Arabidopsis thaliana: one gene and its partners. The protein of the gene in region 3 interacts with the protein of the main gene of each other region in a pairwise test. Each region holds a gene or a part of one and is shown on either strand. Other genes may lie near its edges. The genes, in order: AGL56, AGL55 and AGL103.

Evidence for each region.
Region 1: the proteins of AGL103 (region 3) and AGL56 interact in a two-hybrid assay, tested with the Arabidopsis thaliana proteins (one large-scale study listed by BioGRID).
Region 2: the proteins of AGL103 (region 3) and AGL55 interact in a two-hybrid assay, tested with the Arabidopsis thaliana proteins (one large-scale study listed by BioGRID).

Annotation. Positions count from the first base shown.
Region 1 is NC_003070.9:22,409,901-22,412,688, forward strand, and holds AGL56 (AGAMOUS-like-56), read left to right. Parts: upstream 1-1,674; coding exon 1,675-2,280; downstream 2,281-2,788. Other genes in the region: MEE9 (maternal effect embryo arrest 9), read left to right, coding at 1-14, 87-327; AT1G60890 (Phosphatidylinositol-4-phosphate 5-kinase family protein), read right to left, coding at 2,552-2,788.
Region 2 is NC_003070.9:22,429,173-22,432,115, forward strand, and holds AGL55 (AGAMOUS-like 55), read right to left. Parts: upstream 1,190-2,943; 5' UTR 1,096-1,189; coding exon 520-1,095; downstream 1-519.
Region 3 is NC_003074.8:6,416,735-6,420,452, forward strand, and holds AGL103 (AGAMOUS-like 103), read right to left. Parts: upstream 1,771-3,718; coding exon 610-1,770; downstream 1-609. Other genes in the region: PGSIP1 (plant glycogenin-like starch initiation protein 1), read right to left, coding at 2,477-2,749, 3,206-3,718. UniProt on the Arabidopsis thaliana protein: Probable transcription factor that may function in the maintenance of the proper function of the central cell in pollen tube attraction.

The DNA of each region.
Region 1 (2,788 bases), on a different chromosome or scaffold from region 3:
CTTGAACTTGATCGGTAACATTTTCGTCTTTTCTTGTATGGAATTTTCATAGATCTGGAGAGATCTGATTTTTATGGTTTCTTCAGGGATATGGAGTGGGGGATGGAGGAGTATAGGCGGACGTTGGAGGAGATGGAGAGGATGGAGGCGGCGGAGCTGAAAGAGCTTGAGGAGAAAGCGGAGACTGCTCGGAGAACGGGGAATTTAATGGAGAAAGCGGCGACAGTTGCCGCGAAACGACATATTGCGGCGGCGATGGGATCAGCCGCCGCGTCTATGAGATCAGCTTGGAAGACTGCAGCTGGAAATAAGGTTCATCCATCTTGATCGATGATGATGATGATGAATATGATAAGATGACGATGATTGTCAAAGTATTGGTCCCCATGTTATAGGATTAGTAGGTCAAGAACATTTTAATGAATAATTATTTCCTTTGATAAACATATGGGTTACTACTTACTATTGCCGAAGAATTATGAATTATAGGTAGTTTCTAGTTTATGTATCTGTAATTTGTAATCAATATATATTTATGGGATTATAGGAAGTCGTAAAATGTGGTACTAGTTTATTGGTTTGATGGTAGAACAGAAAAAAAAAAAAAAAAATTGGTGGGACACCTAAAAGTACGAAAAAATTACATAAAAAATATGCGTCATTCGGTTTTAGAAAGAAAGATATGTATGTGATGTTGTTATTCTATTATGCGGAAGCATTAAAGTTTGGGTGATTTAGTGACAAATTTGTCATAGAATCGACACATAGATCAGAATTGAGACAACGAACGAAAATCAACTATAAACCACCGTTTAAGTGCCCTTTCGGTTTCGACAAAAAAATGTGCCATTTCGGCTGATCTCTCGAAGCTTTATCTCTCCAAAATGTTTACATATGGCGCTTATGGAAAAGCAGAAACACGCTTATGTTCCATCAAACCAATAAACTAGTACCACATTTTACGACTTCCTTATAATCCCAAATATACTGTATATTGATTACAGTATACAAATTATTTTTACTCTAAAATGGTGCGTATCACAATACTCACCAAAAGAAAAGATCATTCATTAACACCAAATGATTAACAAATTAACAACAATGCCTAAAATGTCTCCACCGCGAACTATTTATATAATCTCCGACCAAGACTGCGTTGGCAAACTATCCGTCTTCGACGCTCCTCTGTTCATCAGATACCATATTTCTTGGCCCGCAAGAAATTATCTCTAGGGTTAGGGTTTTCGCAGATGGGTCATGGAATAAATGCGGTAATGCAAGAGGTTTTGGATTTGGGTTTACAATACTGTAAAAAAAATTATCTTCGCTCCAAAAAGTGAACCAAATAAAATTAGATTTGTTTGTTTTACTTTTTTCCTCCACGGGAAAGTAAATATATTAGTTCATTAAGAACACCACAAAAGAAAGGAAAAGAGTTCTCTACCTTTGTGTATTTTTTTTTCTAATTTTTTGCTAAGAGATTTTAGGAAAATAGTTAAAGAAAGGTAATATTAAAAAACATCTCAGATTATGGAAATTCTCCGAATATGGAATAAGACCAATAATGGGGAACATGCAATTAATTATGAAGAATAAATAAAATGTACTATAAAGAGAAGAATCTCTGTCTGTCTGTCTGTGTAATTGGGGTTTCTTTCTTGCAAGTGTTTCAACATGGGAGGCAAAAAAACAAAGATTGAGATTAAGAAGATCATAAACAAACCCGCAAAAACGGTTGCTTTCACAAAACGCAGGGAAGGTCTCTTCCGCAAAGCTTCACAGCTTTGTCTCCTCTCTCCAGCCACTCAAATCGCAATCTTAGCGGCTCCTATGACTTCCAAATCTCACGCTTCTTTCTACTCTTTCGGTCATTCCTCTGTCGATAACGTTGTCTCCTCTCTGCTTTATGACCATCCTCCTCTTACGGCAAACCAAGACAACAGGTCAGGGTTAGGGTTTTGGTGGGAAGACAAACGTTTTGACGTATCGGAGAACGTTGAGGAGTTAAAAGAGGCGGTCGATGCTGTTTCGAGGATGTTGAACAATGTGAGATGCCGATTAAATGATGCCGTGAAGAGTACTCAAAGAGATGGAGGTTTAGAGATTCTTCATCATCAGGAGGAGGAAGTTCTTCAGACTCGCAACGACGAGACAAAGACGAATCAAACTCACGAATTTGAAGGCGGCGAAACTTCTGGTTCTGCAAGTTGGTTAGAGAACGAGGATGATATTCTTCACTTTGATGATGATTTTTATACTGGTATTGATCCTTTGTTTTGATCAACTTATTTTATCATCTAATCTATTACTGATGCACTTGTTTGGATTTTAAGAGTGGCACAAATCTACTCAATAATAATAATATACGAAAACTTTTTCAAGTATATAAGATCCTAAATGTTAGTGTACATAAGGGCGAAAGAAGATTACGAGCCAAATCCCTCAGAGTCTTTTTATGGCTTATGAACAGGAAAGAATATTATCGGTCGAGTCAAATCATGGAACCTTTCATCTTTAGGAAGATCAATGGTCCGTTGATATCTCTCTCTCTCTATGCTTTTTCTGGGAATACCTTAAGGAGGAAATCGATGAATCGTTTAGAGTAAAGTGTAGGCTCGATGGCTGAAATTGTCATTGGATCATATTTCATAGATTTGCAAGTATGTTCCACTTTCTTCTTCATGTTGTACTCTTGGAGGATGTCAATGATGCCCATGTATACAACCACATCATATACTTCAAAGAGCTCGACCGTTCCTGATTCCTCGTTGTCTTGGCCGAGTTTGTG
Region 2 (2,943 bases), on a different chromosome or scaffold from region 3:
TTCCCTGCGATCTAATGGATAAGTTTATGGATAGGTTTAGTTACGATTATAGCAGCAATAATATATGGGAAAACTAGCTTCATGGACACAGAGACCAGCACTCATCTTCAAAAGAACACAACATGAGTTTCTCAAATCCTCTTTCTCTATCTCCAGTGGAATTACACACTACTGTACCAAGCCACCACGAGGCCGAGACAGAGCCAACAGAGTTCGAGAAGAATCAGAAACGGTACAAAGACCTAATCGCCACCTTTCTTCATACCAAAGGCTGGACAACTGACTTGTTTGCTAATAAAATCGACAATGAACCTTTCTTTTGTTATTTAATTAAATGTATTTCAGTCTCAATCAAACTGAACAAAATTTTGGTTTTATATTAGTAGCTTTTTTTTTTCCCAAACCAAAACACCGAAAAAATCCAAAAAATAATAATGCACAGCTAGATTAGATAATAGCCTAAATAAACAAGACATGATGATTAAGTAAGTTGGTTAAATCAAAGGATCAATGTTGAAATCAGTAATAACGATCATCAATGTGTAGATTATCCACTACGTTCTTTAACAAACTTGCAGAAGCGGAAGTTTCACCTTCGAGTTTGGTAATTTGATTTGTGTCTTTGTAGCCAAGCTGAAGAACCTCCTCATCCTCCTGATGAATCACTAAACTTCCATCTCTTTGATTGCTCTTCACGGCATCATCTAATCGTAGCCTCACATTGTTCAACATCCTCGAAACCGCATCGACTGCCTCTTTCAACTCGTCGACGTTCTCCAATCTGTCAAAGGCTTGGTCTTCCCACCAAAACCCTAACCCTGATCTGTTATCTTGGTTTGTGGGAAGAGATGGATGCTGATTGTGAAGGAGAGAGGAGACAACGTGATCGACAGAGGAATGACCGAAAGAGTAGAAAGAAGCATGGGAGTGGGAAGAAAGAGGAGTTGCTAAGATTGCGATTTGAGTCCCCGGAGAGAGGAGACAGAGCTCTGAAGCTTTGTGGAAGAGTCCGCTTTTGCGTTTTGTGAAAGCAACTGCTCTCACGTTCTTATCTTCGATTCTCTTCATCTCTATCTTTCTTTTTGTGCCTCCCATATTGAAACTTCAAAGGAAGAAAGCCAAATTACAGACAGAGATTGTTTGAAACTTGTAGAAAGCTAATTACACAGAAAGACAGAGATTGTTTTCATCGTCCTCTCTTTATACTAGTGTACTCTCTTCCCATATCTCAACTTTTTACATTATTGATTCATTCTCTATTAAGAAAATTTCCATAATGGGTTGTTTCCTTTTGTTTTTTTTTGGCAAAGGGGTTGTTTCCTAAGATTACCTTTTTTTGGAACTATTTTGGTAAAATACATAAGAGTACTACTCTTTTCTACTTGTTTTTCCTTTTTTTATGTTCACATTCTCTCATATGCCAAAACCCTAACCTTAGAGACGGTTTCTTGCGCGACAAGAGACACTCTATATCGTCTCTTTCCTCTGTTTGTCGAGTGGCTAAGATGCGATTATGGACAGAGGAGTCGTTGAAACTAATATTTGGTAGAGGTTATTAAATAGTTCGCAGTGGAGACATTTAGGGGTCGTGAATTGAGATTATAAGATAACCCATTGAAACTAGGGTTTTGCAATTACACAAATTTAAATATGAGGAAAATTTGACACGTGATACCGAAAGGATGATTTGAATTGCATGAGTATATAAATAGTTGCAGAATATGACATATTAACAATAGTTCATGGGACATGGTGGATTAGGTGTAAAGGTTTATTTAACCTAACCCTAAATCACACCCCGGTATGGGCAAATATGTTGCTTGACAGATGGTATTGAATTACTATTTTTGCAAATGTAAATGATTTCTATAGCTTCTTAATTTTTTAGTTTGTTTGGGTCCTTTAAAGTTTATGAACGTGTTATTTTTTGTTCTTCACTACCTTTTTGTGAGACTGACTCGCACTCCAATCGGGATCATCATCTTCTGCTACATTCGGATTAACGTTCTCGTCTCTTCTCCTCTTCCCTGAACCGGGACGGGTTTTGTAGTGGTCGTTGATGGTTGAATCTATGGTTTCCAATAACCGATCTCCGTATTTGCTCACCTTGGCTCTGTTTAGAGTTTAAAACACCAAAATCCCCCGAGTTTTCTTCATACCTTTGGTTATACAAAGAGAGAGAGTAGCGTTCAAAAAGCTTCAAGATACTTACTTTCCTAGACCATTGATATCAAGGAGTTCCTCTTTGGTTCTGGGAAGTCGTTTACTTATCTCTTTAAGCGTCGCATTGCTATAAACACACAAGGATTTTTCTATTACTTATGATCTGAGAAAGAAACTGAAAATATCATTAAATGGATCGTCAACTTACCCGAATATATGATATGCCATGACTAAATCTGGCGATTCTTTGACAATATCAGTCCGAAGATTTTTCAAGGCTGTCAACAAAATGCCGGAGAGATTCTAGACCGACATTGAGAAAAAATAAGCAGCCTTTAGCAATTTAGAGTGGTGGTTTTTAATCTTTGAGCAATAGATAGAAACAAGGATACAAGAAGATATACCGAATCTTGTGGGGCAGCTTTTGCCATTGGAAGGGTAGTTTGCTTAAGTGGAACTTTTGCTGGATTTGCTGTGGATTTGCTCTGCTTTGACACTTTTATGGTCGAAGGAAATCTGTAAGAGATATGCAAGTCTTAGCTAAAACTAACCTTTTTCAAAACGAATAAACATATAACCAACTCTATTAGCTCGCTCAAGAATATAGAACTACTGAAGAGCAGCAATAACATTGCAGTAAGAACAGGTAGATTTCAGAACATTTCCCAACGTTTGAGCTACTAATGACATCAATTTGGTTGCAAGTAGTTTATGTGAACATAAAAGAAAGATATATCTCGAGTGTAAAGTCAAACCTCATTGTTATACTCTGGCCTCCAG
Region 3 (3,718 bases):
TAAGCCGAACACAACACTTTATTGTCCAGTTGGATCTTTTGTACTTTTTTCTATTTTTCATTTCTTTGACCTTTTTCCCTTTTTAATGCGAGGACATATGATTGGAGAGAGCTGCTAAAGTATTTTTTTAGCTTAAGTAATTTCTGATTGTGTTTTACTTTACCCGTCTTAAAACTTAAAAGCTTGCCTAGGGTTTTTTTATTCATCAAACATTAATCGTATAATCAAATTCTCGGCAATAAGTATAACAAACCAAAAAAAATCTCAGAATAACAAAAGAGGAAGTATAGGAAAAGTGTCACTAACATGGGAGACATTACTAGTCTTAATTCTCAGCAATAAATATAACAAACAAAAGAATCTCAGGATAACAAAAAAAAGAAGTAGTATAAGAAAAGAGTCACTAGCATGGGAGACATTATTAGTCTTTTAGTCACATTACACTAATAAATAAAAGTAGACATAATCGAAAACTTGGAGATCGATATACTGTCTCAAACTGATAATTGCACTAACCAAAAGTTATAAATATATATGCTTCTTAGTTATATAACTAGGAGATATTAAAAACCAAAAATTATGAAGCTATAAGAGAGATTGTGATAGATCTTAGAGAGACCTAGTATTGTTTCCGTTTTGATCCAAATTGAAAACCCGGTCCTGATGTTGGCTGTTGTACGTTGGAAATTGAACATACTGATGCGAAAGACCATTAGAGTTAATGCTGTTGTTGTTACTGTAGTCATGCATGTTCATGCTCTGCAACCCGTTAGTTCCAGCTCCTTGCATCCCAAGTAACCCTGCACAGTCTTGAACATTGAAGTTGTTGCGGCTGGACATGTTAGGGTTCTCAAACTCATTGTTTCCGTCTTCGTGTACCCCAAGTAAGCTAGAGTAACTTTCCGCTCTGGAATTCTGGTCAAACTGTTTTGAGAAATCATTAACGCTGTTGATGTTGTTATAGGTTAACATGTTCATGTTCTGAAGCCCATTGATCCCAGTTCCTTGTACCCCGAGAGACCCCGAGTAATTTCCCGCATCCGAATTCGGGTAAATCATCAGTTCAGGCGGAATCGGAGCTAGAGATTGCGTTTGGTTTGAAGCCAATGCTGAGACTGGGATTTGTGAGAAAGCACCGTTTCCATGGTTCCACAGATACATGGAAACCTGGTTTGAGTGTTGTTGAAGTTGATTCATCGTATTAGCCATCATCAGTTCTTGATTAGCCATGTTCGTGTACTGTACCCTCCTCTGCCCCTGAGCTTCAACAACAGCGCAAGTCCTATGTTGGATCCTGGTTAGGTTTCGTTCCAAGGACTGAACCAGTCCCATGAGTTGCTCCACAGAGTAATTGTCAAACCTAGGGTCCCAAACTGGATACTTGACTTTGGGTACACGTCTCACTTTAATCTTCTTCTTCTCCTCCTTCTCGGGATCATCCTTGTTCATCTTCTCGAGGAACTCGTGAAGATCAACGCTTCCTTTGCGACGCTTCGTCTCGCTTAATTCACCGTACCTTCGAGCTATGGCTTTGACCTTCTCTCTCTCTTCAGGCCATGTCTTAAGCTCTCCGTTTGATCCGTAACAGATGACGCAGACATCGATGTCACAGAGAATTGAAAGCTCTTTAGCTTTCTTAAAGACAGTCTGTTGTCTTTTGATCAAACTTGTGGCCCTCGAAGAAGAAAAAGCAGAATTAGGTTTCTTGAAAAAGGTTTTGTTCTTCTTCGATGTTGAAAACGAAAGAGAAGAGGACGAAGAAGAAGCCATGGTTGTGTATATTCTCTGTGAATTGAATGAAGAGGTGGTGATCATTGTTTGCGAATATATAAAACCCTTAGTTCGAGAATTTCTATTTTTGGTCTCGCTCGGTAATTAATGACGAATCAATAATGAAAGCGGTGAAGATTTCATTGCCTTTTTTAATATACTTTTTTCTCATAGAATCAATTTATATGTTTAACGAAGGTGTAGTTTTACTAATAAGGAAAACTTTGGTTTTTGGTTGAATATTATGGAAATCTTTAGTAGAGATTCTTTTCACATGTACATACATACACAAATACATACACTGATATACACACACATAGATTTATATACTATACGTAATGTATACATACTACACTGCGATTCGACTAAAAATTTGGATTTTTCGAAAGTTTAATTATACTACATATGTTTAGTTACATCAATTAATTTGTGTTGTTTGGCTATATGTAAGTCTATAATCTATCGTTTCTGTATAAACTATTTGAATGTTACTAACATTTTTGAGTTTGTGTTTGTATACAAAAATGGCATATAAATACGACATATGTTTTATTTTGTGGTTAAACTGCAAAAAAATGTTTTATTCAATTTGAACAAACTATAGGAAAAAGATATAGTTACACAACTGATATTCACCTAATCTCGCAGCAACAATTCAAACCAAAAAACTCATGAAATCCATTAATAAGTATGTATAATTATTGCGTCACAAGTTATGGCCGGGAAGTGATGATCTCCGGTCTACGGTAATGGCTGGTGGGGTGGGAACAAAAGACTCGTAGTCAGTCCAATTTGATTCGCCCCAATGCCGCAGCATACTTTTCCAATTACATAATTTGTCGATGCAAATTTTGAATCTCGGGTCCTTTACTCTTATTTTCCAATGACCGTCGGCATAATTTGCGGCCTCTGCTTGCCGGCGATCATATTCCAGCTGTGCCTTTTGCTTGGATCGCAAGTAACAGAATTGGTGAAGTTCCTGCAAAATATCATATATGGTAATTACTAACCGTCACAATTTTAGAATAATTTGGGAAAACGTCTAACTATTTTTATATTTCTGCCAACCAATGTTTTTTTAAACTAATCATAAAGAAAGAAAATTTGAAATGATTTTTTTATAAGGTGTATAAAACATAGACATTAAAACTTGATGCCTACTGCGTAGGGGGCTAATTCTGCATTTACTAACCCACCAAGATTTTCGTATATTCAAATTTCATATGGTTATTCTAAACTTGGGTAGTAAGTAATTTTTAGTTTATTTATTTTTTCAAGTTTTGGAAATTTTTGAGAAAGAAATAATGCTATGCAGTTAGTCTCTCAACGCATGACTAAACGCCTAATAATATTTTGAATATTGATCACAATATGAGATTGAAAATATTATGTGATTTTTGAGTTCTATTAAGGTTTTTAGGAGAGAGTGAATCACCTGTGGCATGGCGTCGTGGACCATCCACCATTTTCGATGAGCGATATCGGTAGCAAACTCAACGAATATGTCGGAGTTGAAGTTACAGTCGTAGTCACGGTAACATAACCACGGCTTCATCCCAAGGTAATGAAGAACATAAAGAACAGGAGGCTCTGCTCCAAAAAGCTCTGTTTTCTTGCGTTTCGCGTCATCTTCATCGCCAATCCAAAAATGCTTCAAGAAATTCATATGTTTTGGAATCCGGTGCCACCATGTGAATACCTCGTTTAAGTAACCTTGATCTCCACCGTTATAAGACTCAATCTCGTTTATATGTTCCATCAGAAGCTGAAACGTACAGTTGCAAGGCTCGATCACCATAACTCCTGAATTAAACAGAGTTCCATTGTTTCCTGTAGCTGAGATCTCAGGCATCGAGAACAAGAAATCGATGTTTCTCAAGATTAAGAGATCCGCGTCGATGAAAATGATTTTGTCGTAATCAGTCAGCTGCCATAGCCGGAACTTGCT